2 linked regions of the Arabidopsis thaliana genome follow. The protein of the gene in region 2 purifies or fractionates together with the protein of the main gene of each other region. This does not show direct contact. Each region holds a gene or a part of one and is shown on either strand. Other genes may lie near its edges.

Region 1 (15,964 bases), on a different chromosome or scaffold from region 2:
TAAAATTTTGTATGGGGATATGTGAGATTAACTTGGTGAACAAAGATTTCAACTCAACTGCTTCACATAAAGCAATCAACGTCCTAAATCTCAGGGTTGCAGGAACTTACAACCATCCCAAGGACTATGAAGAATTCCTTTAATGATACCAGCTGTCCACGTATCGGACTTGGAGCAGTCTCTGCAATGTACATCGGAGCCGCATGCATTGCCTAAATGTAGGGAAACAATTCAGTTCCCGTAGCAAGAGTACTGCTATATGTAATCCACAGCAAAAGCACATGGATAAACAATATTTTCGAAAGGTAAACAAGATTTCTAGTCACTGGCTTTTAAGCTGGAAAAACATAAAAAATACGAAGGACGAAGAATACAGTCACAATATATGTGTACTCTGTATACATGTACATAGAATAGACATCAATTATGTTTCTATGATGATGCACTGGATAACAACCCATGCTCAGCAATAGATGGAAATATATTTGCATCAACTGTTAGATTCATTGGAAAGGTTAAGTTAGGTTGATTATATACATGATAAGAACTCCACATCCTTTAGGAGGGGAACAAGTTAAAATATTATAAGACCTTGGAAAGTAGTCACCACTATAAATTAAGAGTGTGGGTGCCCTAAAGTCCTATAAAGCATTAATTTGCTCCCCTCCTAACAGATGTGCGATTCTTAGTACACCGCCAAATGCATAATATATAACGTTTGAGCCATTGGCATGCATAAGAAAGTCTTTAGATGTCAAACAATAAAGAAGCATGATCAGTCTTACCAGTCCAACTGAGACCCCATAAATAACCCGTCCAATTATCAGAACGGAATAGGTTGGGGCTAGTGCAGTCACAAGGGCTCCAACGAGATACAATAATGCAGCCAAAATCAGCTCCTTTCTTCTTCCTTCCAAATTCAACAAAACCAAAACTTTATCTTTTTCCACAAGCAAACATTGCTAAATACTCATGCCTACAAAATGAAGATAGTGAGAAGTAAAACTAACCTATAACGTCAGCGATAGTAAAAGCCACAATTGAGCCAAATAATGCACCGTAAAGTGAGCCACTGGTCTGGAGAAAATTTAACACTATTTTGTAAGCAAATTTGTCTTTACTCCAAATGGCAAACACATATCCAAGAGCGGCAGGTGAATAAATGATAAGCAATGACCAGGATAAAGAAGAAGTATCACATATAACTTGGAAACTTACAACTAGACCAACATCCACTGAGGACAAGTTGTACCATGAAATTCCACTTAATGAAGGCGACTGCAGAAAAGGGAACAGCATAGTAAGATAGCAAAGTCATAGGCTCCTAAAAGAATGTAGACAAATATAAATAACGTACATGCATGTGACAACAATATACAGGAGAAATCAAAGGGAAAAAATGGTCTGGCAAGTGTGAAATATCATGTTTCAGTACTGATATCTCAGTCCAATTTCCAGAGCTTTATAATATTTAGGCTTTGAAAACAGTGACTAGGCACTTGAAAAATAAGTTGAATGATAACAAATTTTGTAGGACTAGATAGTTTCAGACAACTTTTAACTTTACCTGAAGTGAAATGGTTGCACAAGAAGTTGCACCAATTTCATAACCATAAAGCAGTCCTCCGAGAGCTGGAAATAAAAACCTGATAATGAAACAGAAACTTCTTAACATGCATATATCAATCATCAATGGACTAGCTACAAACCAAAAAACTACCATGCGCAAAGGGACATAGGTCCAAATTCCTGCAGATGGTATGTAATTCCATAAGGAATTCTATTTGAAAGCTATGCAAGGTACCATACACAGCGTTCTAGTTTCCTAGTCAGGATACATATTATGCTAAATGATACACAATATAACCAAACAAAGAACACATCGGAATTGTTCAAGAGTGTTTCATTTGAATCATTTTAAGAACTACCAAACTTGGAGAAGAGATGAGAGATCTCACGGGAGAATGGCGGCAACGACAGAGTAGTTTTCTGGGACATGATTCTCTTTAATAAGAGGCTCCCTTTCTGGGCTGATCTCACCAGATGACTTACCAAACTAAAACGCATAAACAGTTTCAGAAAGTTGCCACCCAAAAAAAAAAAAACAGTAAGGAACACACAAATCATGAAACCAACAAACCAATTGTACACAGCATTTAGGGTCTAAAAATTTCATGCTTAAAGATAACTGTGAGGCTGATGGCTAAAAATCCGTAAAAGCCTCTAAATTTCTTCTCAGAATTGAAGCGAGTCCCCAAAAAGTGAATATATGACTCTTAAATACAATCTCTAAGATTCCAACATAGCAAATTTCAGAATTTTTCCAGAAATTTGTCAGCTAAAAGCCAAAGTTGATCTCAAAAGGAACATTCCTAATGTGGCAAGTCAAGAAGTACGAATTTACTAGAGAATTAAGCTTCAGATGAAAGGAGACGTATACTTCAAATGAAAACTCTCTCACACCGTTTAATCGAACAGGAAACAAAACGACGAAGTAGACAATGAAAGGAGACGTATACCTCTCTGGAAACAGAGGAGATTGGTTGCTGCTGCTCAGGATCAAGCGCCATAGCTGTGATTTGAGCGACCGAAATATGAATTCTGGTTCTGAGTTTAGTTAGGTTTGCTGAACGAAACCCATATATATAATTCTCCGGGGTTTTGAAGATTTAACTACTACCACTCAACGACATTGAATCATCTTCACATAGACGTGGAGGTTGGTGACGATGACGGTCAGAATTTGGAATGTTAATCTATCGACAATACCAACCGTTGGATTGACTCTAGTATAAACTATAAAGTATGCTATCAAATGTTCCATTTTATTTTATTTTTGACAGAAGAAATTTGTAACTTAATTTGTTTTTTTGATAATTTTTGTAACTAGATTTACGAACGAAAGAAAGGTGCAACTGGTTGTATATGTCGAAAAAATTGAAAAATTTTGGAAAATTTGAGTTGAAGAAAAAAAATTAAATAATATTCAATTCATTTTATGCAAAATAGGAGATGAAGATAATTTTTTATCTATATATATATTTTTGCAGTCATTCTAGCAAATAAATCGTAGAGTTGAACTTATTTACAACCCAATGCTATTAACACTAAATCTTTTTTCCAAACTAATTAATTTTACTTTACATTCTTAATTTAAATTGTCAATCACATTATCAATCAAATTTAATCTAAACAAATTTCACATCAATCCCTTAAAATCAGCATAAACGTATTTGTTAACAATATTTTAAAACAAAGTTTTTTGTACATAATTTGAATATAAAGGAAACTTAATTAATTAATTTGAATATAATTTGTAACTTAAGTTGTATTATCTTGTAAAAAGGAAACTTAATTAATTTATTGAATTATATATTTATCAATATCATTTTTTCTTTATTTAAAATATATAATTCATTAAAAGGCCTTCCCAAATAAATTGGGCTGGCCTGGTAAATTGTAATTGGGACTACATCCATATCATTACCTAATATTAATAACAACATTTTAAGTTGAGAAAAGAAATCTTAATTTAGACCTTTACATAATAAAAAATATATGATCAATATCATTTTTACTGAATAACTCTATATCACTAAAATATATTTGGCGCGAAATTTTTTATAAACTTGAAAATTATTTAGAATCAATACAAAGTAAGAAAAAACAAATTTCTAGTGCAACATAATCGCGTGATCATCTACTGTTTGTTTGTGAGTTTTCTTCTCAGATTTGAATAATGGTTTTCAGCAGATTGTGTTCGCGTCAAATGTTGTTTTGTTCTTAGGTAGAACTCCTTTCTTCGACTCATCTCTCTTCCCCTGCGGCTCCGTCCTTGTTTCAAAAACTTGAAGCTCATGTCGTGGTTTACAATCTATGGAGACAGTGAAATAACCTCCTTCATAACTCGCAACACCTATCACCAGCTCTTATCTTCAAGTTCGCTGATCGGGAGCTTCACAACAACATCACCTCAAGAAGAAGTAGGAAGAGCTGGCAACGGTTGATGCTTTTTTGGATTCACTAAGTTTACCAAATCTTATGTAAGCTGCTAAGTTTTATTGTAATCTTGTTTTTACTTCTCTTTTTTTGTCACGTTTGCTTTTTATGTAGGTTTTGCTCTATAACGCCTAAAATCTCATTTTAACAATATTTATGTATTTAGCAAAAAAAAAAGAGTATATAAACGGTTGAAAACTTATTATGATATCAGATTGGACACTTTTTGTGAGATTTTAATTATGATTTTAGCGCAAAGTTTAATTTGAAATCTAATAACTCAATACCATGATAATTGTTTTTCTCACAAACACTAGAAAGTGAGTTTGTTTTATTCTCTGTAAATTTAATGTCACTAATCTATTTGGCGCGAAATAGATATTTGGAGCGAAATTAAATTCTTATAAAATATTTAAAAATTATTTGGTAACATTAAATTTATAGAAAGTAAGAAAAACTAATTAATGGTATATGTGGTTAAATTTGTTTATCAGGATATCAAGAAACTAGATTTCAAGATTTTCTAATTCCGCTTAGTTATTAAGAAGAAAAGAAAGGATGCATTAAAAAAAAACCTTCTTTCTAAACAAAAAAAAGAAGAAGTAGAAGATGAACTTTTCCTTTATGTATGTAAATTAAATTCTTTGAAAACTATTTTGTTTTGTTAAGTTCCTTATGTCCCCATCAAGAAATAGCAGAAAAACTCAACAAATTATTAAATTTCAATTCTACAAATAGGCCTCAGAACAATTAAAAAACAGCATAAAAACTTAGTAAACTAATAAAGTTTCAAATCAAATTAATTAATTAAGTTACCTTAATAAAATAATAAGGAAAGAGGAAGATGTAAAACAAATTTCAAAGTCACTCGTTTTCTCCCCGTCCCCTGCGTCAATTTTAAGCTGTCTTTTGAGAACTCTCTCTCTCTATATATATGTGTGTATATATAAGCCTCTCTTTTCTCGCTCTGTGTTAAACCATCCTCTCCTTTCTCTCTCTAGATTTTTATCCCCTTTCCCTCTCTCTCTCTCTCTCTCCTAGGGTTTTCGTCTCTCTCGTTCACTGTTAATAGTCTTAACGGAGAGGTTTGATTAGCCTCCGGGAAGATTCTACTGCGAACTTTGGACACATCTCTCTCTGCCATGGCGGCTGAGAAGTTAAGGGACTTGAGCCAGCCGATTGACGTCGGTGTGCTCGATGCCACTGTTGCGGCCTTCTTTGTTACCGGATCTAAAGAAGAGGTGCTTCAATTTCTCTGGGTTTTGACTTGTTCAAGGGGCTCGACCAATGATTAGTCTATTTCGCGGGTCTGTTTTATTGTTTGAGCGTCTTCTTCTCGATTGGGTGTGAGGAGTAGGAATTAGGAGCGTTTCGTTGTTAGGGTTTTAGCACTCTGATACATCTTTGTCTTAAGACGCTTGTTTCGGGCAGCTCGAGTTTTCAATTTGGATTTTTAGGGTCCTAGAGTTTTAGTAATGTATTGAATTACAATGGTTTAGTTGCTCACTGAGACTCGAGATTGGTGAATTAAGTCCCTTGTTCTTTTGTCGCTTCACTGTTTCCAATCATACTTGTAATTTTTATCCTCTGTCTTTGAGCTCATCTGGCAGTGAAATAGCATCACTTAAAAAGATAATTTTGCTATGATTGTTTAATTTTCTGATTACCGAATCTCGTATTTCTTATACTTCTGCTTCAATGTCAACATTCACCTCATTTGTATTTTAGTTTTTACCTTGAACTAATCGGCATTGCTCCCGAAACATATTCAGAGAGCTGCTGCGGACCAGATTTTGCGGGATTTGCAGGCTAATCCAGATATGTGGCTTCAAGTTGTCCACATTCTACAAAATACAAACAGCTTGGATACCAAGTTCTTTGCTCTGCAGGTCAGTTTTAGTTCCTTATGCAGTTGTAAATTAAAACTGTTCTGTTGAGATACTTTACTCTTTTTGGCATCCACTCTCAGGTTCTAGAAGGTGTTATAAAGTATAGATGGAATGCACTGCCTGTTGAACAACGAGATGGAATGAAAAATTACATCTCAGAGGTTATTGTACAGGTATATACTTTTGGAGGCTTTATTACCTTGTTCTCTGGATATAACTGGGAAGCTTAGTTAACAGAACTGTTTTGATAATGAGTTTACCTTGTAGCTCTCGAGTAATGAAGCATCTTTCAGATCAGAAAGGCTCTATGTCAACAAGCTAAATGTCATTTTGGTCCAGGTATATTCAGCACTCCCTGATAATAATATTCAATGCGTTTATTAGTTGCACTTCTCTTGTCTCTTTGGTTTCAGTAGCTGATACTTACAAACTTCATTCCAACCCGTAGACTTATTTTATCTTCTGGCATAACATATGTTGTGATAAATGCACAGATCGTGAAACATGATTGGCCGGCAAAGTGGACAAGCTTCATTCCTGATCTAGTTGCAGCTGCTAAAACTAGCGAAACTATCTGCGAAAATTGCATGGCCATTTTGAAAGTAAGAATCTTTACATGATATCATAATCAGTTCTCACTGGAATATTTTAAACATTTTCTTCCTTTATTTAGCTCCTAAGTGAAGAGGTTTTTGATTTCTCAAGAGGAGAAATGACTCAGCAGAAGATTAAAGAGCTGAAACAATCTCTAAACAGGTCTATTTGAGAATCTCAATTTTAGCATAGTAATTATTAGTTTTCAATCTTTATTATCGTGTATATGTTGATTAAGTGACGTTGTATCTCATTATTTACCTATTTGTGCTTTTTTTATGTGCAGTGAGTTTAAACTCATTCATGAGTTATGCCTATATGTCCTCTCAGCTTCTCAAAGACAGGATCTTATACGTGCAACACTGTCTGCATTGCATGCCTATCTTTCCTGGATTCCATTGGGTTACATTTTTGAGTCTACTTTGGTAATAGACTTCAAATAATTTATAGATTGATGTTAATTGGTACCACAATATGTTCTTCTGATAGCTGCTCTGGTTATTTACAGCTTGAGACCCTCCTTAAATTTTTTCCTGTGCCAGCATATAGGAACCTCACTATTCAATGTCTGACCGAGGTACCTCAGTTTTTAAGTTCAGTTTTTCCTAATGTTAATTGAATGTATTATTTATTTCTCTATTGGCTCGAATTTTGTCGATCAGGTCGCAGCTCTTAATTTCGGGGACTTCTACAATGTTCAATATGTCAAAATGTATACCATATTTATAGGGCAGCTGCGGGTAAATTAATCGTCTTCTTGTTATTTATTTATTTTTGTCTTTTAGTTCATTGTATTATTAAGAATGATTTTTCTTTCATTCTTATTAAGTTAAAGTAGTGAATTTGGTCTGCTTCTTGTTTGTCTTGGCTTCTTGCCTGATGGTCTACACTTGTTCTCGTACTTGCAGATAATTCTCCCACCGAGTACAAAGATCCCTGAGGCATATTCCAGTGGAAGTGGTGAAGAACAAGTAAGTATTTTCTGCACGCTTGGTTTTAAGGTAGATCGTTCATTTGAATAACTTATCAAGGTTATGACTCGGAATTTTATGTGTCACCTCTAGGCATTTATCCAGAACCTGGCACTATTTTTCACTTCCTTTTTCAAGGTAATTATTTTTCTTTGTTGAGTTAGATATCTCATGTTGGGTTTATGGAAATTTTGATATGTATAATGATTTGTGTTAATGCTTCCAGTAATTATTGTTTCATCATCTATTTCTTAACTATTTCACTACTATCTCTGCAGTTTCATATTCGAGTCCTAGAATCAACGCCAGAAGTTGTCTCTTTGTTACTCGCTGGTCTAGAATATCTCATTAATATATCTTATGTTGACGACACTGAAGTATTTAAGGTACCTAAATTGTCTTTGTTAATATGATTGCTGTTGATAGAGTTGTATGTTAATTTTTTCCTTAATTATATTCTTATGTGCTTTTGTTCGTGTCTGAAAGATGACGTTTTCTGCTTGCTTGTGGATTGAGCAGGTTTGTTTGGACTATTGGAACTCGTTGGTGTTGGAGCTATTTGATGCGCATCATAATTCTGATAACCCTGCAGTAAGTGCAAGCCTGATGGGTTTGCAGGTACGTTGGATTCCTTGACTAATATGATCAATTTTTTACATTTATTTAAGGTTGATACTATAGTTATATATTGTATTGGTTAAACTTTCCTTGCTTTGATTTGGTTACTCACCTTGGGCGTTGACTTGCAATTTTCCCAGCCTTTCCTTCCTGGTATGGTTGATGGCCTTGGTTCTCAAGTCATGCAGCGGCGTCAACTTTATTCTCACCCAATGTCCAAATTAAGAGGGTTAATGATTAACCGCATGGCGAAGCCTGAAGAAGTGCTTATTGTTGAAGATGAAAATGGGAACATCGTTCGTGAAACCATGAAGGACAATGATGTTCTTGTCCAATATAAGGTATCAATTCTTGTCCAGTTCATACTGCTTTTCTTCAGATGTCTTAGATATATACCAACAGTGCGATGTTATACAAGGAATTTTTTATTTATTTGAATCCTCTTTGGATATCCTCTTTGATTTCTTCCCCATTTCTTGTTTGAACAAATGCAGATAATGCGGGAGACATTAATCTACCTCTCACACCTTGACCATGATGATACCGAGAAGCAGGTACAGTGTCACCATGATGATACCGGTCTATGCGTATTAATTTGTGAAATATTGAGGATTAGCAGTCTTATGATCAAGTATGCTTTTTATCAAATGAGTTTCTCCTTGTTATAGTGTGAATTATCATATTAGTACTGCTAACTTTAGCAATTTTAACATGGACCTGTTATAAGATATGAGATTTTCTGGTAGATATGTAAGCTTACTTTGGTCTGTTCCATGCTGTTTTGCTGATGTGAACTTCGGATTGTTCCTTTAAAAGATGTTGAGGAAGCTAAACAAACAATTAAGTGGGGAGGAATGGGCATGGAACAATTTGAACACTTTGTGCTGGGCTATTGGGTCTATTTCCGGATCTATGGCAGAAGATCAGGTAAAATCTTTTGCTATGCTTCACCTGACTGCAAATTCTTTTCATAACCGTAGAAGTTCTTGTTTGTAATGCTGCACCTCTCCATCTGTGGGCTAGTATGCCATAACTTAATTCAAGAAAGTTTGACAGTGTCAACCTTCAATGTTAATTGTTTCTTTCATTAACCTCCCATTTCATGAGATATCATTATCGGCCTGACTGCTCCATACTTTGCTCTGGAAGGTTTACATTGTTAATTCTGTGCTAACAATTGTTAAATTCCATTTTTTCTTCAGGAAAACAGGTTTTTGGTGATGGTCATTCGTGATTTGTTGAATTTATGTGAAATTACCAAGGGAAAAGACAATAAAGCCGTTATTGCAAGCAACATCATGTAAGTTTGTTACTACAGCTGAATTTCTGCCTAGGTTGTTGTACTTCTATCATCTTATATTTTCTATTTCTTTCAAGGCGATGTTAGATTTTTTTTGGTTAAGTATGACCTCTCTGTTCTGCTGTCGCTGGGTTGCAGGTATGTCGTTGGCCAGTATCCAAGATTCTTAAGGGCCCATTGGAAGTTTTTGAAGACAGTTGTGAACAAGTTGTTTGAATTCATGCATGAAACACATCCTGGTGTTCAGGTAGCTGGTCCCAATCTTTATAGTTTATATATTATGAGATACAGTTTTCCAGGTGGAATCTCAGATAAAATGATGTGTTATTCGCTGTTAAAATCCATGAATAATATATTTTTAAGCTCTTGGAGAATATATTGGTAGCAAAAATATGCTCAAGTTGTTAATTACGGTGCTGTAGTTTATTTATAATCGTCTCAAGCTATCTGAAGTCTCTTTTTTGACTGAATATTCTTTCATAGATTTATAGACCTTGCACCTTCCCAATCACAGATACTTGATACTTATGTTTCCCTTTCAGGACATGGCCTGTGATACATTCTTGAAAATAGTTCAAAAGTGCAAGCGAAAATTCGTTATTGTACAGGTATGTATTGCTGTATTTTTATCCACCGTTAGGTTTTAGTATATCCATTGTCTTCTGAATGAGATATTAATTACAGCTCGTTGTTCTTTCAGGTTGGAGAGAATGAACCATTTGTATCTGAACTTCTAACAGGCCTTGCAACAACTGTTCAAGATCTTGAGCCTCATCAAATACACTCATTTTATGAATCAGTAAGTTTTCCAGAAATATTATTCGCATGCCAATCAGAGCAAATTTTCCTGTTGTGATCTCATCGTTTCTCTTTTCTCCAGGTTGGTAATATGATCCAAGCAGAATCAGATCCTCAGAAGAGAGATGAATATCTCCAGAGGTTGATGGCACTCCCCAACCAGGTATGTTAATTAAAATGTGGCTATTTTTGTTTACATATCTGGCTAAAATTGTTCCCCTATACAATGTAGAAATGGGCAGAAATCATAGGACAGGCACGCCACAGTGTAGAATTCCTCAAGGATCAAGTTGTGATACGTACAGTGCTAAACATCCTACAGGTCTGATTTCTTACCTATTCCTCACAATGCATTATGATTCCATCACGTGAATTCATGTCATTATAGTAGTTAAGATTGTGCATCTGTTGGTGTTTAGACAACTGTTGGTTTGATTGTAAGGTCCAACTAATAACATGTGTTTTTCCCTGCAGACTAATACTAGTGCTGCTACTTCACTGGGAACATACTTCTTATCCCAAATTTCCTTGATTTTCTTGGATATGTTGAATGTATACAGGTAAATCCATGATGCATCCTTATAGCGTTAATAGTCATGGTTCTCTTTCTCTAGTTCTTTTACGTGGATGATCATTTTATTTTTTCCATGGCTGCACCAGAATGTACAGTGAGCTTGTGTCAACCAACATTACTGAGGGAGGACCATATGCTTCCAAGACATCTTTTGTAAAACTCTTAAGGTTTGGATGGCTTTATGCACCAGAAATAACGTTCTAGATGCCTCTGTTTGGAAAAACTGGAATAATTTGTATTGTGATTCTTTGCTATACAGATCGGTTAAGAGGGAAACACTTAAGCTGATAGAAACCTTTTTAGACAAAGCTGAAGACCAGCCACACATAGGGAAACAATTTGTGCCGCCAATGATGGAATCAGTACTTGGTGACTATGCGAGGAATGTGCCTGATGCTAGGGAATCCGAAGTTCTTTCACTCTTTGCAACGATTATAAACAAGTATGCCTCTTATTGTTGATGTGTGCCCTAATAAATTAACTGTAATTGTGAAAAGGTTGGAAGATCTGGGCAGATGTTTACCATGCTGCAATATTTTATTTTGACTTTTTTCTTTCAGGTACAAGGCAACAATGTTAGACGACGTGCCTCACATATTTGAAGCTGTATTCCAGTGTACATTGGAGGTAACAGATTTTATGGATTGTGTGTATTTGACGGGATGAAAGACTTGCGTGGCGGTCGTTCTTATGCCTTGTATACTTTATTGACACCTTTTATTCATCCTATTGCAGATGATAACTAAGAACTTTGAAGATTATCCAGAACACCGCCTCAAGTTTTTCTCATTACTCCGTGCTATTGCTACGTTTTGTTTCCCTGCCTTGATAAAGTTATCAAGTCCGGTTAGTGATTACGTTTTTGCATATATTATTCTTTTACGTGATTGAAAAGTCGTTTGACCTTCTTTCTAAGCCTTCTCTCATTATTTGCTTCTGTTTCTTACTGTATCGTCATTTTGCAACAGCAACTGAAGCTAGTGATGGATTCAATTATCTGGGCATTTAGACATACTGAGAGAAATATTGCTGAAACCGGGCTTAATCTTTTGCTTGAGATGCTGAAAAACTTTCAGGTTTGGTGTTTATTTTCCTTCTTTTAGCTCAGTGGTTGTGGCATATATTACGCTTGCTCTAACACTTTACTCTGATTGTGACAGCAATCTGAATTTTGTAATCAATTCTACCGGTCATACTTTATGCAAATCGAGCAAGAAATATTTGCCGTTTTGACCGATACCTTCCATAAGCCTGGCTTCAAGCTACATGTGTTGGTGCTGCAGCAACTGTTTTGCCTGGTAAAACCATCTCTTCTCTTGTTGTTTCTTATTTGATAGCTTAAGTAATCATTTACTTGGGAATGGGTAGTTCTATGCACTTAGCCGTTTGATAATTATATATTTCAGCCTGAGAGCGGTGCTTTGACAGAACCCTTGTGGGATGCTACAACCGTTCCTTACCCGTATCCGGACAACGTTGCATTTGTTCGCGAATACACCATTAAGCTACTGAGCTCTTCATTCCCAAACATGACTGCAGCAGAGGTAATAAAAACTAAAACCAGAAGTTTCACTTTCACAGTTTTCATGTTGGTTTTTTACTTCGTATCCTGATATATTGATATCAACAAATAATACAGGTCACACAATTTGTGAATGGACTATACGAGTCTAGAAATGACCCGTCTGGATTTAAGAATAACATTCGTGACTTCCTTGTACAGTCTAAGGAGTTTTCCGCTCAGGTACTTAACCTGTCTTTCGCAAAAGCCATTCAAATTGGTTTTAAGAACTCAAAACCAAATAGCCGAAGCCAATTTGTTGAATACTTATTTTTCAGGATAACAAAGATCTCTATGCTGAGGAAGCAGCTGCACAGAGAGAGAGAGAACGTCAAAGAATGCTTTCAATTCCTGGGCTTATTGCTCCTAATGAGATTCAAGACGAGATGGTGGACTCATAAAATTAAGAAGGGTGCAACAAGAAGAAGCTTCCTGTGTTCAATGGGCTGGATTTTTTGTAATCATAGGTTTTTGAAAACAGGAAAGAGTTCAAGGAGAGATTAATTTCCCCGACCGTATCTCTACTACCGTATTCCGAAGCTTCTCAATTCGATTTTGAGGATTGGAAAAGCTAAGAAAACAGAGATCTTTTTGGGGATAAATTAGTGTCTTGTTTGGTTAATTAATTGGGTTTAATGTAGATTTAAACATTAGGGACCTTCTCTAGTTATCTCATATGGTTGGCTCCTTTTTGCTTTGACCTTTTTTTGGGGGTTTGTTTCTATTACTCAGTGATTCGTGTTTTAGGTGCAAGATATTTTTTTAGACTCTATCTTTGTCACCCCCTAGGGGGTTTAAAATTGTAAGATTGACTTGTGGTGATGTTTCTCATTAAAATCGTCCACTTTAAAGTGTGCTTTGACAATTTTATCAAACAAAACTTTGAATTTAGTCATCATTATTTTACTCTTATTTGTTACCCCATATGAAATAAAACTACCACTAAATTAAATAAATACAACTATTTAATTTATGAAAACGAAAATGCCATCTAAATTAAATTATTGACACGTAACAATAAATATTAAGATAGCATAAAACGTTTATTTGTACTTCGAAAACTTATACGTCAATAATTTATTATTCCCGCCCACAATGCAAGATAACAACTAGTAGGTGTTGTTTACATGTTTATCCAAAGTTCACAACTTCGTCCAACAATCCTCCAAAATTCTCAAAGGAGCTTCCTTTGGTAGAGACAGCTTCTTGTGCTAGTTCTTCAAGCTTTTTAGCATTAACCTTCATCTTCTTGCCATCATCTTGAACCAAAACCCGATCCAAACTCTCCTCAAATCCATCCTTCGTGAAGACTCCACTACTAATCGTCACTCCGATCTCCCACACAGCTTCCACAGATCTTGCATTGATTGCATGATCCCCGAAAATCGGTCTACAAATCATCGGTACACCTGCCGACACACTCTCCAACACTGAGTTCCACCCACCATGCGAAACAAACACACCCATTGCTTCATGGTTTAGCAGCTCCACTTGTGGTGCCCATGGAACCACCATCCCTTGCTCTCTGGTCCGATCCAAAAAGCCTTCTGGTAAATGAGTCATTTTCATCTCTTGTAGCGACCAAACAAAAGGCACTTTACTCGATTCCAATCCTTGTGCTATCGCCACAAGCTCTACAGGAGGCGGTGTCGCGACTCTACCAAAGGCAATGTACGCTACAGAAGCAGTGGACCGCTTCTCGATCCAAGCCAAGCAACCGTGAGGATCGTGCACTAGCGTTGATGTTTGCGATGGAGAAGATAATAAAGCGAGAGGACCGATGTTTAGGTAACGTTTGAATTCCGATCTGAAATCATTTGTAAACGTAGGATCCAATTCTTCAAAGGAATTGATGAAAACAGCAGTGGCACGAGGTAAAGCAAGACCCATTTGGTGCAACGTTTTAGAGAAAACAGAGTCTAAGTTCCCAAACACAACGCCTTCTTGTGTGTCTTTGACTCTGATCTTCTCCATTCCTGAGATAAACCCTATTGTCTCCTCCATACGCTCACCTACTTCTGAAAATTAGAATGGAGACATTTCTTTTAAAAATCCCTCGGGGGATTATTGTGGAACAGGCAGGTTTACTTGCCCTATAAGGCATCTATAGTTGCAATATTGAAATTTCAATGGAATCGTAAAGCAAGAAAAGATTTGTGTATACCTTTGACACCGACGTTTTCTCTGATGGCATCTGTGTAGAGATGAGCAGTGAGCGAGGTTGCTCCGCCTCCATAGTACGCAACCCACGACGCTTTCATCTCCGCAGCCGCCGTCTCCGCTGCTAACCAGAGGAACGCATCCGTAAGGATGCACTTGAACTTCCTACCAACTTCGGTCTCGGCCGCCTTGATTTCTCTTCGGAAAATCTCTGGCGCCGCTTCAAGAAACAGCTCAACAGCGTGCTGTGGATTCCCCGTCAACACGAATCCCTCAGGAACACCGTCATCGACGTTGTGGACACGAATGTTTGTGGGGATATCGGAGGAGAGTAACGACGAGTTGGATCGTGCGGTGCTGAAGAAGGAGAAGACGGTGGAGGGAGCAGCGGTGGCGAGACGGCACGTGACGGCGAGGAGAGGAGCTGCATGAGTGCCGAAGGGGAAAACGAGAACTGCCACGTGGGAGTCTCGCGTTGGCTGCGAGGGTTTGGCCATGATGCAGGCAATGCTAAGGAGAGAATAATGTGCGTAGTTACATTAAATAGAAGTACGCTAAAGAGAGAAAAATGTGCGTAGTTACATTAATCAAATAGAAGTATGCTAAAGAGAGAGTAATGTGCGTAGTTACATTAAATAGAAGTACGCTAAAGAGAGTTCGTACGCTAAAGAGAGTTCGTAGATGAGCCACCGAGCAAGTATAGACTCTTTCTCTCTTAATCAAATTTAAGTATACCTTTATTTTGTCCTTTGTTTATGTCCCTGCTATATTGTTTTGGTAGGTAGAATTTGTGGTTCTTATATTATATGGTGAGTTTTCTCATCAAGTCTCATCTGTCTTTCATTCAATGTTCTAAAGTAAGCCCCTAGATCGACAGACGTATAGATATTTTTTTATATGGAGACTAGTCTACACGATAGATATTTTTTTCTCAAAACATATATCTACCGACATACAATTTGTTTAGATATGTATATATTAATTACAAAGTTACCATAACAGAAAAAAATAAAAAATAAAAACAAAGGATAAAGATTCTCACTTTCACTTTTTTTTTACAAAAAAGGTCTTTTCATTTTCATTCCAAAACAGAACATGTTTATTTGTTTATTTATCCAAAGTCTATTTGCTTCAAACTTTCATAACTTCGTCCAACAAACCTTTGAAATTCTCAAAGGAGCTTCCTTCCGTAGAGACAGCTTCTTGTGCTAGTTCTTTAAGCTTCTTGGCATTAAACTTCATCTTCTTGCCATCATCTTGAACCAAAACCCGATCCAAACTCTCCTCAAATCCATCCTTCGTGAAGACTCCACTACTAATCGTCATTCCAATTTCCCACACAGCCTCCACGGATCTTGCATTGAGTGCGTGATCCCCGAAAATCGGTCTACAAATCATTGGTACACCTGCCGATACACTCTCCAACACTGAGTTCCACCCACCATGCGACACAAACACACCCATTGCTTCATGGTTTAGCAGCTCCACTTGTGGTGCCCA
Region 2 (17,372 bases):
GAAAAGCAAACACTTTACATAAACGACGTCGTTTGAAACCTAATACGATATACTCGTATATAATAACTGTATATTTTATAGTCTTTATGTTAAACAAGTAAATAACAAACCCACCTAACGCCAAAAAAAAAACCAAAAAAAAAAAAACCACCTAACTCTCGGACTTGGTGAGACTTGAGAGAGTCTCCAAGAAAGTAAGAAATCAACAACTTGATAGTTAAACGTGAACTGTCCTCTGATCTGATTCAAGATTTACGATCGTACCTTTATCACCCAACAACGACTTCGACCTCATTTTCTTGACCTCATCACTCGGATATATGAATAACTTCTTTGCCATTTTACAGAACTCACTGCAACATTCAAGAGAGTTTGTCAACAAAACACAATTGTTAAGAACTCGAGAGAGAGCTTTAAGCTGAAGAAAGAGATTGAGAGAAACTTACTTCCATGGATCATCTCCTACAAGCATCCTATCTCCTTCATCGTCTGTAAACACGATAGCCCATTTGTCTTTAGGACTAAGTTCTCCTTCAATCTCAAACATTTTCTCTAGCTCTTTTATTAGTTCATCGTATGATCTCAACAATGTTAAATCAACCGCGCGTCCAACCGCTGTTCCTTGCATTTGCACCTTAAAAGGAACAAACAGAAACAAAGTGGTGAATTTGAGAAATAACAAAAATTTGTAAGTTATTGAGTTTCTCTAGTAAAAAGAGTAATGGTTTGTTTTACCTTGATTCGGCTTCTTGTGGATGTTTGTTGTTTCTGCTCTTTTGGTGAGTTTGAAGAGTTAGGATCTTGACACTTGGTGGTAGAATCAGATATATTTGAATCCACACTTATTAGCTGCTTGTCATGAGGAATTGTAGCAGAAGCAGGCTTGCTCGTGAGATCGAATCCGAATAACCTACAACTACTTGTGACCGGAGCCTCGGTTATCTTGCATTGTAATCCACTTGAAAACACTGATTTGTTTGAGTTTCTCTCGGTTGCTGGATCTTGAAACAACAGTTTGACCGATGGATTAGACTCGTGGCTCTGCGAGAAACTACTCAAGAAACTAGAAGCTACAGGACTCCCTGTGATTTCTGCAAGGCAGGACAGAAGAATGATATGATATATCATCTCTAGAGAATGATTCATTAGAGAGATAATCTTGAATCAAGTATCAGAGATCTTGCTTGCAATACATCAAACTTAGTTAACTCTTAGAACCGGTTTCAGTAATTACTAAAAGAGTTGATTGTTTTTGAAGATACCTGAGATTGGTCTGGACCGTTTGGACTTTGATTGTTGTTGAGTAGGGGTTGGTGTAAGCGCGGATGGTGAGAAAGGCTCGATCTCCCACGGTGAGACCTTGTTTGGTCTCTGTATAGAAGATGGCTCGTCCCATTGGATCTAAACATATGAAGAAGAGATTTTACAGAAAGTATGCAACAAGAATGATATGATATATATCATCTCTAGAAAATGATTCCAATTCACTAAACCTGCAATGACCTCCATTTGGAAGCTGGCCATTGAGAAGATAGATCTCCACTGCCAATAATGGTACCTGTAAATCTGAAGAAGAAACCATTCTAAAATTTCAGACAACAACATTCAAGAGAGGACTCATAAAAAAAAAATCAACAAGTGAACAAAGCAAAAAATGAGAAACTACATTCTCTCAGGAGACTCTTCTCCTTCGAATCTCATCCTATACCGCATACCGAGAGAAAACCCGTTCTTCATCGCCATCATATACTTGTTCACACTAATTATAAACTGGCTTATCCTGAACAAAAAACAGACAATGTCAAGCTTAAAGCCCTTCCACTAGCAACCTATACAAGATGGAGAAAGTTTAAAACTTAACCTTGGTTTATAGAAGACAACAAATATAGTTGTTGTGGTAACAGCATGAGAAGCTGTAGCAAGAACTCCCAAACGCATACTCTGACTCGAAATAACGGATGCGGGCATCGTGCTTTGCTGCTTAGCTAAACGCCTCACACCAACCCGTAAATCCCCGGTTTCACCCCTTAAAAACAACATGAGAAGATTACTTGTTAACCACCCCATGAAGTAAAACCCGAAAGTAAAGACACAAGATCTTTAGCTACCTCAAGAACACAAATGCATCTCCAGCTACAAGTCTTTTCGAGGTTACAAATGTACTCCAACCGGTTGTAAGTAAATGCCTCCTCGGTTGCCCTATCCAAATAAGACAAAACTTAATAGACTCTTAAAAGAAGCTTTCAGAGACTCTCTTAAAGATTCTGTTACCTCTAAATATATGCTTAAACCTCCATTCATAGCCGTGAAGATCTCTAGCTACAAGTTCTTGAGTCGGTGTAGGTTGTGTCATATCCTAAGTATTGAAAATCAAAAATCAAAACATAAAGTGACAAATTCAGCTAAGAAAGGCCCAAACTCTGTAAAATGAAGATGGAAAGATAAAAGCATTTACAAGTGAAGGTAAACACTCAGTGGCGTGTTTACGAAGAACAGAGAATCCACCATGTGTGCTTGTATCTGAAGCTGTTAGAATCTTCACAAAAGAATCAACCGTTGGTTTAGCTGGTTCTACTAAAGGTGGGTCAAGACTTGTTGGTTCACTTTGCTGCATAATAAAATACACACAAAATCTAAATCAAATTCACTGAATTTATCACATTAATTCAAGATTCTTTAAACTTACATCTTCTTCTGGTTGTAATGTGATCTGAGCGTAAACCTCATCGGTCTCATGTTCTGCTTTTAACGTAACACTAAGAACACGACAAAGTATCTTTGGAGGAAGATTAAACACTGGTATCTCTTGATCAACAACTCCTTGATTAGTCGAAGCAACCAACTGCCAAAAGACAAACATTCAAATCTTAAAACTTGAGAAAGACAAAACAAGGAATAATCTTAAGAGTTTGGATTCTTTACTTGTTCCATGTGACCTTGAGGGAAGTAGAAAACTCTTTCACCATAACGAGGAACTTCCACAAGTGGCCCTGCACAAGCTTTCCATAGCTCCGTGTACAATTCATCATCATTAGACCCTAAATTCCAACCAACAGCTATCAATTTCAACCAAAGTTGCAAAATTTGAAGCTTTATAATAGAAATTATAAGTGGCTCTAAGCTTGTTTGGCTCATGATTAGAGTTAAAAATGTTGACTTTTTCCCAAGAGAAAAAGAAAATTCAAAACTTGAGAAAATTGAAGTCAAAATTTGAACTCACCTGATGTTCTGAAATCAGCTTCCACATTCGCCATCGAAGAAACCAAAAAAAATCCAAGCTTTACAGAAGAAAACAAACACTAACAGGAAACTAAAATCGAAATCATCAAGCTCAAAGCATTATTAACCCATCAAAGAAGAAGAGTCATGAAAGAAGGGTAAGAAGAAAAGGTAAGTAAAGAGCTGAAAAACTCTCGTTTCTTTAACGACGAGACACGACGGTTATGTCTGTATTCATTACACAACATCAAAATTCATTAATACAAAGGCACTCTTTGTGATAAAGAAGAATTGATTAAAATATTTCTCTTTTTTTTTTTCCGGGTTTTCTCTTAAAGCTTTTTCAGTTTCAGTTACGAAACCGCTCCTTCTCTTCCTCCTCTCTATGCCTTTTTGTCTTCCTTCTCATCTTTCAAACTACGTGTCGTTTGTCCATTACCTCACAAACGTCTTGCTGTTTTTCCTTTCCTTTGAAGTATTTAAACAAACGTATGGTCAATTATTGTGAGAACGAATGTGGACCGTTAAAATTAAAGACAACGGTTTTGAGTAGTAGTAAATGTTATGTACTTAAGACTATAGTTAGGTCTCATCCTTCATATGTCTTATCAATTTTTTTCATTCAATAGGCAAAAATAGTTTCTTACCATAATAAGGCGTGTGAAACCAAAAAGAAATTGATGTTTATAAATTGTTCCTTGATGAGTCTCGTTAGATTTGACGATGCCGTTACTTTCTAGCTTGTGTCTGGAACGTGGCAGGCAAACGTGTTGGCTCGTGAATGTACCAGCAGAGATTTTTCCAATCCATCGAACGTTATTGTTCTAGGGCTTTGGAAAGCGTGCGAGATATTTTCTTGTTTTTCTATTTATTTTCACGTGTTAATTTAATTATAACTCAGTTTCGAGTCGATATTTGATCTTCTGTTATATCTATACTTGGGAAATTTTAACTTAAGTTATGTTGGTTAACTATATTATACACTTGACGGAAATAAATCGCTGCAAAAGGAAACTAATTTACTAAGAACTCTGAATAGTATTATTGTGTGTTTGTATCCTGATACGAATCTACATTTTACTCAAGTTGTAAATACTTCAACGCAAAAAGGTAGTTATACAGATAATTAACGTGATTTTAAAATTCGGTAAAGAGAAAACGAACAATAAAAAGTAGAGGACCGTTTGCTTCAAATTGTTGGTTGCGAATATGATCATTTCTTAAAGTGAATGGAAACGCACGGATGGGAATATAAACATTATAGTATTAGTTTTCTATTCTTAATTGCTTCATTAGTGATACACTGGAATTTTCATTTCACAATATTTTTCTATTACTTTTGTTTTAATTGTTACTTTTTGTATATAGTTAATCACTCGTTTAGTCATAAATCATAATCGCCACATCAGTAAATGAGAATAACGAATATTCGTATTGTAGATATGCATGTCTCAACTAATATAGATATCGTCATCGAATTGTTTTTTTTTTTTTGGAAGTGTGGGAGAATGATGTCATGATCGAATATACAGACTAAATAAAACGAAGAAATGTATGGTTATTGCATTGGTGTTTAATAATTAATATAGCTGCAGTAAAGAGAATCAAATGGTTGGCTTAAGTTAACAACACATTCAAGAAAAGAAGATTTGATTCCAACGGCGTATCTACTATCTTGATTACTATTGCACAAATTTATTATCTTTCTACTTAAGAATACTGACTTTTTATATATTTTAAACCGATTTACTGGTTGATTGGACATTACATGGTTTCTTCCACTATTCGTTTTCTATTAGTAAAATTTTATTAGGTTTTTCACTTGTTGGTGGAGGGAGTCAAAGCAATGACACTGTATTCTGTATTAGGTATAGGTGAAATATAAAAATTTAAAAATAATTTAGTACATTCATATAATAATGGTTTTGTATATATTTAATTTTCCCAAATTATCTCATTCATTTTTTTGTCGTAATTATCTCATTCATTTTAATATGCGAAAAATGACCCTTTGGTCCAGGAATCTCAAAAACACTAAACTCATGGACTTTGCTATTAAAAGATAGATCAAAACAAGATTGAAATTCGGATTAGTTATAATATGATTATCTTTGTAAACCATCTGTGCAACGGATCCAATCCATTTATTCGGTTACGATTTAGAGATTAGATTCCATCTATTCTAAAATGCTACTTGTCAATTTACAATTCATAGGAATGCGTTTGGATTCACGCTTTCTTGTTATGGTTTCAGTTTTCAAAAACTATTAAAATAAAACTATATAAAGATAAATACAGCAATAAGATATATATTGGTTATCTTTTTTTTTTTTTTTTTGAGCAACGGATATATATTGGTTATCAAACTTGAATAATGAATGGTTAAATTTTTTTTATTATTATAGGGTGGTGTTAATGTTGAGTAAGGATCCACTTAAAACATATTATAGCAAACTAAAACATCACGTGGACAATAGCTACATCATTTGGCAAGTTCCGACCAAATATGTTGTCGCAGAAAATAATGAAATGCAAGGATTTTAAAAGAGTAATTAGTACGAGGAGACATATGCACGTCTAAAGAGTAAAGACAGTACTCTCTAGCTCTGTCTTCCTTGTCGCTTAATTTCTAGAAATAAAATGCAAATTTTTGGATGCACATGAAGTGTGATCTCACGTACATGCGGCAAGAAATCACGTATATAAGCGATATTAACTATCATTCACTTGTACAACAAATTAATATTAATGGATAATGATACATCAGTTTTAGATATGAGTTTCTTATGGATATACTAAAACATATGGAATATCAAATTTCACATAAACAAATGATGATACATCACTAGAAGAAAATTTCACATAAACAATTAAAAAATATATTTTATCCTGTTTCATTTTTATTAATCATCTAACATTTGAAATCTGATTGCATAGTAAACATGTGTTCCAATATCAATTAGCATCCATTCAAATCCCATTATAAAAACAACATTTAAATCCTCTAAATTAAAGTGTATCATTGAATGGGAATTTCGTATCAAACTCGTCCGTACAACTCCAGCGATACGTGTTATACATCTTGGAGAATCTGTTTGAGATCCATTCTACCGAATAAAAATAGTTCGTACCATTTTCCTACCTATATAATTTACCAATTCAACGGGTCATATATATAATTCATTATTATCGGGAAAAATGAAAATATAATTTTGTTTTATTTTCTCATTCCATGATTGCTCTCTTTTGTGAAATTAACATATATTTGTAGGAAGTGGTGGATGTATAATTATTTTGTTAAATAAGGAAAGGATTCCTAGTACTTGTTTGTGTTTATTTATTACCTTTTTCCAATTTTATTCAAATAAAGGCACCTCACATGTTTGACAAAGGATTGGTCAAGTTTTCATAAAATACTTGGGGGAAAACATTTAAAACTAATCAAAGAAGAAAGCACTCCATTTTTGTTTGTTCTTTCTAATGTGTGATATGGTAGTCGTACATCGTAATGTCTTAATAATCTAACGTGAGTAGACTCGCTAACAAGATGAATCTGATTCTAACAAATCGTTCAACTCGAAACAGATGACTTATGATACATATGAAGTATAATTTTGGAGAAACTGAATTCTGCTATCGAAAACGTTTACCATCTTATATAAAAAAGAAAAAAGAAAAGTACACTCTAACTAGGTCTCTAATTATTGACAACTGTGTTTGAGTGGGTTCACTGAGTTTGAATCTACTTTAAGCCAAATCCACACATACATAAACATAAATTTATACCAAAGTTCAAAAAGAGTCGAAACAAGAAAGTTACGATATATTAACAATGGTTGGTCCACTATAATTTCATTTTCTTATATTATAAAACGAGGGGACCATATGATAAATCACATGATCATATCATATGACACCATCTCTCTCTCTCTTTCTCTCAATGCCAGGACCATGATGGGTCTCAATCTCTATCTCTCCCCATCTCCATTATTTCCCCTTACCCATAACATGTCTCTCATATACAATCTATATCATACAGATAAATAAGATAAATAAAAATGGATACAAAATATGAAGACGAAAACATGACAATCATTGATATCGCCAACGTGCGAGGGCCATATTAGATGGTCACTAGACAATATACCAGCCGAATTTATAATGTTTTGTTATAAAGATTTTATGAATAGTATAAAGTTAAAAAACGTAAGAGTGGTGAGTATGAAATATAGATTACTTACAAGACTTTTGTCGACATCAAATGTTTTCCTACAATAATGATTGCTAGGAAGTGAAAAATAAAAAAAAAGTGCGATTTGTATAACTGGTGGCCTAAGACAAACAAAAAAACTACCATTTTCTCCCTCCTTTATTCATGTGTTGTCAATGACGATATTGTTAATTAAGAATTAGGCAAGAGTTTAGTGGTCATAGGTCCATATGATTAGCACCAACAATCACCTCCTAACCTCTTGTTCCCCATTTCTTCTCTCTCTCTCTCTCTCTCTCTCTCTCTCTCTCTCTCTCTCTCTCTCTCTCTCTCTCTCTCTCTCTCTCTCTCTCTCTCTCTCTCTCTCTTTCACAATTTTGTATCGACAGTACACTCCACTTCTCAACTTGAAAGATTAAATTAAAATTTAAAGCACGGAGTTAAATAAAAACAAATTTCTTAATCAAGGAAGAGATGTTGGCCCCAAAAAAAATGATAATGAAAAATTGACTTGATTAGATATATGGGTCAAACTTCGATTACAGGCCCACGTCGAAACTAGTTCTCCAAATCGAGAAGTTTATGAAACATGCTTGGCTTTCTCCATCTTTAATAACAACCAAAACCATGATGAATCCATGACCAACAGACATTACGACAAAATGCACATAAACACATAGTACCACCATACAGAGATGAACAACATGCTTTGCTTTTAAAGGGAAATCAAGACAAACCCCCCATTTAAATGCGAAAATCAAAAATAAGAAATCCAAGTTTTGGTGGAAGATGATGGATGCTCTTCTCTAATCTAACTTGCACATGCTATGAAACTCCCGATTTTAGGACAAAAATATGCATTTATGACTTGACCACTTGTTCTTCGCAGACGCAATGCAATCCAGTGATGTTGTGTTTCCCTTCTTCTTTCCCCTTTTTTCTCCTGCCAAAAACAGTTTATAATCACCATCAAGATTGATTCCTGAATACGAATCTGAAACCATTCTTCAAGTCAATACAAACACTTTACCTTCAAGCAATTCCACAGTTGTAAGCATTGCAGAGCTGGATCAAAGCTGTTTGGTTTGCTTGTTCAAGATTCTCACCAATTATCTGTGGGTACCTACCAGGAGAAGCAGAAGAAAGCCTCGAAACAGAAGCGACCAAGAACTGTTTTGGGTCCTTGATGTCTTTCAGAGGATCCTCTTCTTTTTTCCCAGCATTGTGGAGTTTCACAAATGCAGCTGTGTATCCAACATTCTCTGAGATTTCTGGCATTTCAGGTTCATCAAGTACCCTTTCTTGCTCAGGCCTGGAAACAAGCGTCACTATGCTATCAAGCATCTTCCCCCAGAGTTTAGCAGCTGATGGATCCAGGAGAGCCGGAGTCTCACATATGAGTCTAGTTGCAGCAACTGCCGTTAACTTGACCTCCATACTCCCCATGATCAGTTTCAGGTTCGGAATCCAGAAATGCTCCACGATAGCAGTGATGATGTTTGGCTGAACAGTATTCATAGTCTCCACTAGATAAGCCTGTCCATGCTTCACCAAGAAAAGCGACATGAATATTACTAGCGACTTCTGGAACTTGACTGTCTTTTTGTTTTGAACGCGTGTGAATAGAGCACTCCATACACCTTTCATGTAAGGTGCAATCACACTGTAGTCCAGATTCTCAATAATCGTGTTAAGGATATAAAAGCCTTGCTCATCCGTGCTAGGAGATGCAACCAGCTTTTCAAATATCCCCAGAACTTGACTCAACCGATTCTCTTGAGTAACCTCATGAGGTGCTTTCTGCAGAAAAGCTTGAAGCAGGCGCACAAGAGCTGGAACATTGCCACTTCTCTTCCATGACTCAGGCGAGAGGAGCAGCAAGAAGATCTGCATGTAGTTTGGTGAGAGAGTTGGTCTATTTAACTCAACAAGCTGAGCCAGCAACTGAAACCCATAAGGCAAGAACTCTGTGATATCATTCGCCAAAATCATCTGGAGGCTTGGGAAAAGACTCGTTTCAAATGCAGATATAAGAGAAATATCACGTTCACATGCCCGTCGAACAAGTACAGCCACAGACTCAAAGAGATAGTGGTTAAATATAGGATTTTTAGGATTTTTGCAAACTTCACTGAGAATAGAGGTCAATCCCCCGATGCAAGGTCCAGCAACCTCAGCACTGATATCAGCAACACCAAGGACCCGCATTATACACTTCATCAGATATTGATTCTCCTCTGATTCTGGGAATTTCAGCGCATCAAACAGGTTTGTCATCAACTGCAGCAAAAAGGGACTTAAATCACCAGCAGCATACCTATTACCCCTTGCGCCTTCCTCCTTCACTAGCAAGAGCTTCTCTATGCAGCTAGCAGCATAAGAGTGGACCACGTTCGACTCTGCTTTAAGGAAACGGACCAACTCTGGGAACAACTGCATTGCAAAGGGCTTTGGTATATGACTACGAAACATAGTTAAGAACTTCAAGGACCCTGCCTTTAGCATTGGAAAGCTGTTGACATCGCGGCTTTGCAGCTCCGGGAGAATAATGTTTGCAAAGAAGTTTTGAACATCAATGAGATCTGTAGACACAGATGCACCCCCTGCCTTCTTAGTAGATAGAGAGACAACCAAGTAAATTGCACAATCCTTATCTTTCCAGTTTGCCGACGGGTTTGCTGAAAATGAACTCAAGAGCCTCTGTATCTCAAGAGAAACTACTTCTGTCACTTGTGTTTTGTAGTTTGTGGCAAGGCCTTTGAGTAGCTCACAAGCTATTCTCCTTCTAGTGTCCACATCACTTCCTTCCATATCTCTACGGATAAACTCAATATAGTTCATCTCGAAAATTTCTTCATCTTCCACCCTCAAAGAAACATTAGGAATCACAATACTTTGGCAAATTTCCTTGATAACATTGTCCCCCGCAAACAAAGCATGGTGAACACTTGTGCTCACAGAGGTCAAGAACTTGATTGCTGTAGTAGCTAGTTGATCTCTGCTAGGAGACTTTGACACATCCCGGAGCAATGTCCAGACAACTGATGCAAACTCATTCAAAAAGCCTTGAAACTCTTCTTCGTTTTTCTCAATATAATGATTGATATTCTCGCAAATAGCAGCGCGAAGATCATCAACAAGTGTTAACCCCTCCTCTGTGCTTTCCAAGGCGGGATAATTTGAAGATAGATACTTCTTAAACTCTCCCATCCACTCCTTCATATGATCCTCGAAAAACTCCGGTAAGTCCTGAAAGTTCAAAGAGTAAAATATTGTACAGCACAGCCTTTGGGACTCGAAGAGAGGCTTCAGGATCGGAGGTGAACCACCAGAGCTCGCAGCAGAATCAATCAACGAAGACGTTTTCAGGAATATTTCAGTCAAAGGAGCAGCAAAATTATCCAGGCAATACTTCAAATCAACAAACAGAGCATCGGTTCTATACTCATAACTAAACTTTTTGAAAATCGAACTAGCGGTCCCAAGAATACCATTGACGGACACATAATCGCCAGCGAGAGCAGCGTTTTGAAGGTTGGCGATAAGCTCAGGAAGCAAAGCAGGCCAAGCTTTGGGGAAATCGTGCTTACCAATGACGGTTAGGGCTTCACTCAACTGGCTCTGGATACGAGGAGAAGCAGAGAGCATAAGAGAGACGATGAGTGTCTTGATCTGCTCCTTCTCAGAATCTACGATCGGTGAGATACCAGAATCACCAGCAGGATGCCATCGCGAACGGAGATGGTTCTTAAAGTTGACAGCAGCGGCGTGACGCGTCTGTTCATCGATTGCTGGCTCAGCCACCAAACGGAGAACGGCTAGGCCGTAGTTAGCCTGATCAGCAGCATCCGAGAGTGCTCTCTCAGCCGTTCGACGAGGCTCCGGTATCGGAGAGAGCGTGTTAAGAAAACATTGCGAAAGGAACACTAGAGTCTCCCGATTCCACTCCATCTTTCTTAGAAAACAACAGAGAATAGGATCGAATCCGAGCTGTTCGATTAAGGTTTCGCCGGGAGAGATGAAGCAGAATGGACCGCGAAGAGAGACGAGAGAGTGGCGATTTTAGGGTTTCTGATTTTTTCAAAAGAGGGAAACGGAGAAGCTTTTTTATTTCAAAGAGATTTACTTTTAGAAAACGGAAAATTCCCCGATGAACGAGCCGGGTTATCGGGTTTTTGGTTATACCCGATAGAGTAAGTCGGTTAAATGGGCTATTGCTCTTTTCTATAAGCCCATAAATATAATGAGCTTTTACTCTTTCCTATAAAATATAAACCCATAACTCTAAGATCAATTAATGCTTTTGTTTTTAATCAAATAGCATTGACATTAATAGGGTAGGTAGTCTATGGTTTCCGAGCAAGAATTTCTGTCGGTAGAATTTCTAGTTTCAAGTCTGTCGGTGCATTTATAATTATACCAACCATATAAATCATCTATTTACGTGTTACTAAAATAAATTATCGAACAAAAAAACAGAATCTCGTAACTAAAACGTGTTGTGAAGTTGTGTACGTGAAAATTCGTGTAGTGAACCTAAAAAGAGAGCAAGTCTGAAATAAGAAATGTCGACGTATTCTTTCTTCAAACGTGTCCCAAAGCCGTCAACGTCTGTGACGCTGGTCCAAACGCATCACGTTCGTTTGTCTACAAAACTACAAATATATAAAAAAGGGTTTGCAAACAAGAAAATGAGTTTCTTAATTAGTCAAATAGTTATTGCTTTGATGACGTATTTTTCTGTTTTGTGCTTGATTTTGATGTTAAAGCCAGACGAGTCATACTAATATTCAATTGCACATGAATTTCTCACCTCGAACTAAATTTTGTTGCCAAGTAACTCAGCTTGTTTTCTTATTGTATCATTTGGTATTTTGGCTAACCAAACCCACTAGTTAAGTTAGCGTTAGCATTTGTCACACGTGAGACGTGTGAGATTATGATAAACAAAGAAAGCCACGTGGCGCATGATGTATTTTTGCCGTACTTTTGAATATAAAGGTTAAAAATGTCGACCTCATGTGGCCCATTGAAGCCCACGAAAAACGCGTGATATATAAAGAAGAATAGAAGATGAGTTGCGTAAACAAAGCGACTTATTTAGCCCCTTTGTTCCTAACCGAATTTTCCCAAGTAACACCACTTTGCAACATTAGTTTTACACATATTGGTAGCTTTCGAAGAAAACATACGTTGAATGACAAAATATATAGTACATATTAACATATATATACTCCCACGGTTCCTTTATACAAATATGTTTTAGAAAAACAAACTTGTTTTAAGATTTTATGCATGTTTTTCTATGTAGTTTTTAAAGTATAGTTTTCGAGAAAATATAGAGGTATATAAATGAACGGTAACACTTTTTTTAATAAGAAATAGTGATACAATATAAATTTTAGTACCTATATTATGAATTCACAATAGAGTCGGTTTTGTTAACTCGTTTTTATTTTTGGCTTATTTTCCCTACATTTTGTTGATAATCATTCAAGTTATATATCCTTTACACTTCTCAACTTATAAATGGATAGACGCGTTTATAATTGAGAAAAAGAATGCGAAATTGATAAGCTGCTCAAATCTTCTACAACTTTTCATCTACGAAATGGTTAGACGCGTTTTTCGTTAGAATAGAGAAAGAGAATGCGAAATTGCGAGGACAAAAGAAGTGAAACACGACAAATCATTTTTGCAATTTACGTTTTCAAAAGGCATATGAGACAGGAGAAGTTATTGTCTGCAATAAAGACCACCGTAGTCACGAGTGTCTCCACTTGACCCCACATTTTCCCTATCATTCGCTCTCTGCCATTCGATTATTGAGCCCTACTCTTATCCGTTATTGTTTTTTTATTCTCGTTGCATAATCTCACTAATGTATATATAACACTCGTTTGAATTTTGTTAAAACTATTTTGTTTTATTTTATATAAAATTACCGAAATTCAATCTACAAATTCAAATTTAAATTAGGTTCTCTACATATCTTAAAAAGATAAATAAGTGAAATTCATAATGATAAAGCCAATTTTGTTTTGTAACTATTATTAGCTTCTTTTTTCTTTTTTTTGAAGCAATGTATCTAATCTATTCTCTTCTAACGAAAGAGTATTAATTATTATAGACAAAAAAAAATAGTATTAAACAAGCCTACGCAAAACACGTTCAGTATTAGGTTATAGTTTTTAGTACTAATTAAAATATGAGATATGAGTTTTTTTGTTCTATTAGAACTTAAGAAGATAAAGAATTTATAAGTTGGTGCGACTCCGAATTACTCAAAAGACACCAATCATCGCGTTATCATCCTAATCTACAAAACAAGAGGTCAAATTTTGCATGTCACGTCACAATATTGTACATTATCATCACGTTTTTTTACAAAGCTTTAGTATATCAACGTATACATTTCAATGTACGAGTTTTCATTGTACTATCTATCCCTAAGTTTGAATTAGGTTTATCGAATCTCTTTCTTTATTTATATGCAAATTTTAATGATGTCATTTTAAATTATTATAAGAAAATATCCCCATACAAAACATGGTGAGGCTTATCTCATGCGATAATACTTTAAAATAGGTTATGAATATAATCATGTAATTATAAAAAAAGTTTTTAATTAATGGGGAGAAAACAATTAGAAAACTACAAACACATGATGATAGAAAAGTAGGTTAAAAGTCCATCACATGGTGCTCTCTCACAGAACGAGACCCTTTTTGTTGAACGTTACTGTTGGGCATGAGATTCACGCAAATCCTATGCGACAAATAATTTTCTTTCCATAAAAATCTAAATAAAGAAAGAACGTACCATTTTTTATATCGAAGTTAAGGACTATATATATACTATTGATAAGAATAATATACTCAGACTATACTATTAATTAAATGGACCCACGTTAATAACGATGTCTGAAATAACCAAAACCCCACCAGACAATTCAGACAATATTTCTTTGTTTCTTTATGCATGTGAGTTATTTTTATTGGTAGAGAAAAAAATAAAAACAAATAATTAATTTAGTACTATTTAGTACATAATAAATTTTAAAATATTTCGACCATGTGATCTATACTTCTTAAGTACATTACTATAATTTGAATCTCTCACGTAGGTACATACACACGTGTGTACACAAAACACTATTTTCTCTAAAATTTACCAAGTGCAAATATCGTTGTTTCACTAAAATCACCATCAAGTATGTATTACTTTTACGAAATTAATCGGATTTGGAGACAAATTCAAAGACTAGCCAGATTTAGGGGTGAGATAATCCATTTGCAAAATAGATTTGAAAAGAGATTTTAGATTTTCTATCTTTATTCGGAGAGAAACAATCAAAGTAAGTGAACTTAAAATCAGGAAACAGAGTTAATAATCAGAGTAATTATTAACCATGGTTAAGTTGAATAACCAAAGTAATTAACGTGCATAAGTAACCATGGTTGGGTTTTTAAAAAGAGCTTTCATACAAACTTCAATTACCCCAGCAAGTCTTGTCTCCTTCTCTCTCTCTCTCCCTCTCTAACTGTATCTTCTTCTTCTTCTTCAACCTTCAGACTTTTCTAGTTGCAACTCTCATTCAATTGTTCAATTTCTCTGTAAAAATCAAAGCTTTTTGGAATCTTTCTTCGGCGAGATATTTCTTCACCGGCGCAAGCTTCTCTTGAGCGTGATTCATCACTGGGTTTGCATTTTTTCCTGGTGGGTATTCTTCAAATTGTTCAAAGCTCCGACCTTTTCTTCCTTAGAATCTGATTACTGGAATCTTGAAGCTGGAGAGACTCGAGTTTATATGGTTTCAAGCATCGTTGAGTCAATCATTGAGTTGTGTAGAAGAAAGGTTTGGTTTTCTTCTCCGTTTAAGTGGTTTTGGGTTTGGTAGGATTTGGTGTAATCTGGGAGATAAAGAAAGATGAATATGAGTGATTTAGGTTGGGATGATGAAGATAAATCGGTGGTTAGTGCTGTTTTAGGGCATTTAGCTTCTGATTTTCTTCGAGCAAACTCTAATTCGAATCAGAATCTCTTTCTTGTTATGGGAACTGATGATACTCTGAATAAGAAGCTCTCTAGTCTCGTTGATTGGCCAAACTCGGAGAATTTCAGCTGGAACTACGCTATTTTCTGGCAACAAACCATGTCTAGATCCGGACAACAAGTCTTAGGTTGGGGAGATGGGTGTTGTCGAGAGCCTAATGAGGAAGAGGAATCAAAAGTTGTTAGGTCTTATAATTTTAACAACATGGGGGCAGAGGAAGAGACATGGCAAGATATGAGGAAGAGAGTGTTGCAGAAGCTTCATAGGTTGTTTGGTGGATCTGATGAAGACAATTATGCTTTGAGCTTAGAGAAAGTTACTGCTACTGAGATTTTCTTCTTAGCTTCCATGTATTTCTTCTTCAATCACGGTGAAGGCGGTCCTGGGAGGTGTTATTCTTCAGGGAAACATGTGTGGCTCTCTGATGCAGTTAACTCTGAGTCTGACTATTGTTTCAGGTCTTTTATGGCGAAATCTGCGGGAATCAGAACGATCGTTATGGTTCCTACTGATGCTGGTGTTCTTGAGCTTGGTTCTGTTTGGTCTTTGCCTGAAAACATTGGCTTGGTTAAGTCTGTTCAAGCTTTGTTCATGAGGAGAGTTACGCAACCAGTAATGGTGACTTCAAACACTAACATGACTGGAGGGATTCACAAGCTTTTCGGGCAGGATTTGAGTGGAGCTCACGCGTATCCTAAGAAGCTCGAAGTGAGAAGAAACTTGGATGAGAGATTCACTCCTCAAAGTTGGGAAGGCTATAATAACAATAAAGGTCCAACATTTGGTTACACACCTCAGAGGGATGATGTGAAAGTGCTAGAGAATGTGAATATGGTTGTAGATAATAACAATTACAAGACGCAGATTGAGTTTGCGGGATCATCAGTTGCTGCTTCTTCGAATCCATCTACAAACACTCAGCAAGAAAAATCAGAATCTTGTACAGAGAAAAGACCAGTGAGCTTGTTAGCAGGAGCAGGAATAGTTTCTGTTGTTGATGAGAAGAGACCGAGAAAGAGAGGGAGAAAGCCTGCAAACGGAAGAGAAGAGCCATTGAACCATGTGGAAGCTGAGAGGCAGAGACGCGAGAAGCTTAACCAAAGATTCTACGCTTTACGATCAGTTGTTCCAAACATTTCTAAAATGGACAAGGCTTCTCTACTTGGAGACGCAATTTCTTACATCAAAGAGCTTCAAGAGAAAGTCAAGATAATGGAAGATGAAAGAGTAGGAACAGATAAGAGCTTATCAGAATCAAACACAATAACAGTAGAAGAAAGTCCAGAAGTTGACATTCAAGCTATGAATGAAGAGGTTGTTGTAAGAGTAATCTCGCCTTTGGATTCACATCCAGCTTCAAGAATCATACAAGCAATGAGAAACTCAAATGTTAGTCTAATGGAGGCTAAGTTATCATTAGCTGAAGACACAATGTTTCACACTTTTGTGATAAAGTCTAACAACGGGTCGGATCCATTGACGAAAGAGAAGCTTATAGCAGCGTTTTACCCCGAGACCAGCTCGACGCAACCGCCATTGCCTTCTTCTAGTTCACAGGTCTCTGGTGATATATAAGTTTCACATGATGGTGAAGCTTTTGTCTATTCTTGTTTCAGTATAGATAACTTTCAGGTTCAACTAGAAATAGATAAAATCCTTTTTTCTTTTCTCTTTCTTATAGTGAAAGGAATCCGGTTTAAGTATATTCATTAACTTTATTTAGACCATTGATTCACATATTTGTATCTTGGGAAAATATTTCCTATACTTTAGAAAATCAAATAAAGTATGAAAGATATTTGACTTCTCTTTCTTTGTTATGGATGCTTTATTCAGTTACAATTTGGGATCCATTCTTTTTTTTTTTCAAATAAAGCAATAGTTATA

Evidence for each region.
Region 1: the proteins of AT2G46520 (region 2) and XPO1A fractionate together in Arabidopsis thaliana (co-fractionation; one large-scale study listed by BioGRID). This does not show direct contact.

What each region holds. Positions count from the first base shown.
Region 1 is NC_003076.8:5,589,763-5,605,726, forward strand, and holds XPO1A (exportin 1A), read left to right. Parts: upstream 1-4,869; 5' UTR 4,870-5,141; coding exon 5,142-5,240; intron 5,241-5,771; coding exon 5,772-5,888; intron 5,889-5,968; coding exon 5,969-6,061; intron 6,062-6,155; coding exon 6,156-6,227; intron 6,228-6,382; coding exon 6,383-6,490; intron 6,491-6,561; coding exon 6,562-6,644; intron 6,645-6,768; coding exon 6,769-6,907; intron 6,908-6,990; coding exon 6,991-7,059; intron 7,060-7,144; coding exon 7,145-7,222; intron 7,223-7,390; coding exon 7,391-7,453; intron 7,454-7,546; coding exon 7,547-7,591; intron 7,592-7,731; coding exon 7,732-7,839; intron 7,840-7,972; coding exon 7,973-8,071; intron 8,072-8,211; coding exon 8,212-8,412; intron 8,413-8,565; coding exon 8,566-8,625; intron 8,626-8,887; coding exon 8,888-8,998; intron 8,999-9,273; coding exon 9,274-9,371; intron 9,372-9,509; coding exon 9,510-9,618; intron 9,619-9,913; coding exon 9,914-9,979; intron 9,980-10,071; and 27 more. Other genes in the region: AT5G17010 (Major facilitator superfamily protein), read right to left, coding at 111-212, 786-910, 1,011-1,077, 1,219-1,278, 1,568-1,646, 1,959-2,056, 2,520-2,570; UGT78D3 (UDP-glucosyl transferase 78D3), read right to left, coding at 13,436-14,322, 14,469-14,961; AT5G17040 (UDP-Glycosyltransferase superfamily protein), read right to left, coding at 15,596-15,964. UniProt on the Arabidopsis thaliana protein: Receptor for the leucine-rich nuclear export signal (NES). Binds cooperatively to the NES on its target protein and to the small GTPase Ran in its active GTP-bound form. Required for the maternal-to-embryonic transition and during gametophyte development.
Region 2 is NC_003071.7:19,090,875-19,108,246, reverse strand, and holds AT2G46520 (cellular apoptosis susceptibility protein, putative / importin-alpha re-exporter), read right to left. Parts: upstream 11,835-17,372; 5' UTR 11,381-11,834; coding exon 8,462-11,380; 3' UTR 8,460-8,461; intron 8,373-8,459; 3' UTR 7,874-8,372; downstream 1-7,873. Other genes in the region: ARF11 (auxin response factor 11), read right to left, coding at 218-353, 447-634, 736-1,091, 1,263-1,401, 1,494-1,566, 1,667-1,780, 1,862-2,026, 2,109-2,199 and 4 more; AIB (ABA-inducible BHLH-type transcription factor), read left to right, coding at 15,360-17,060.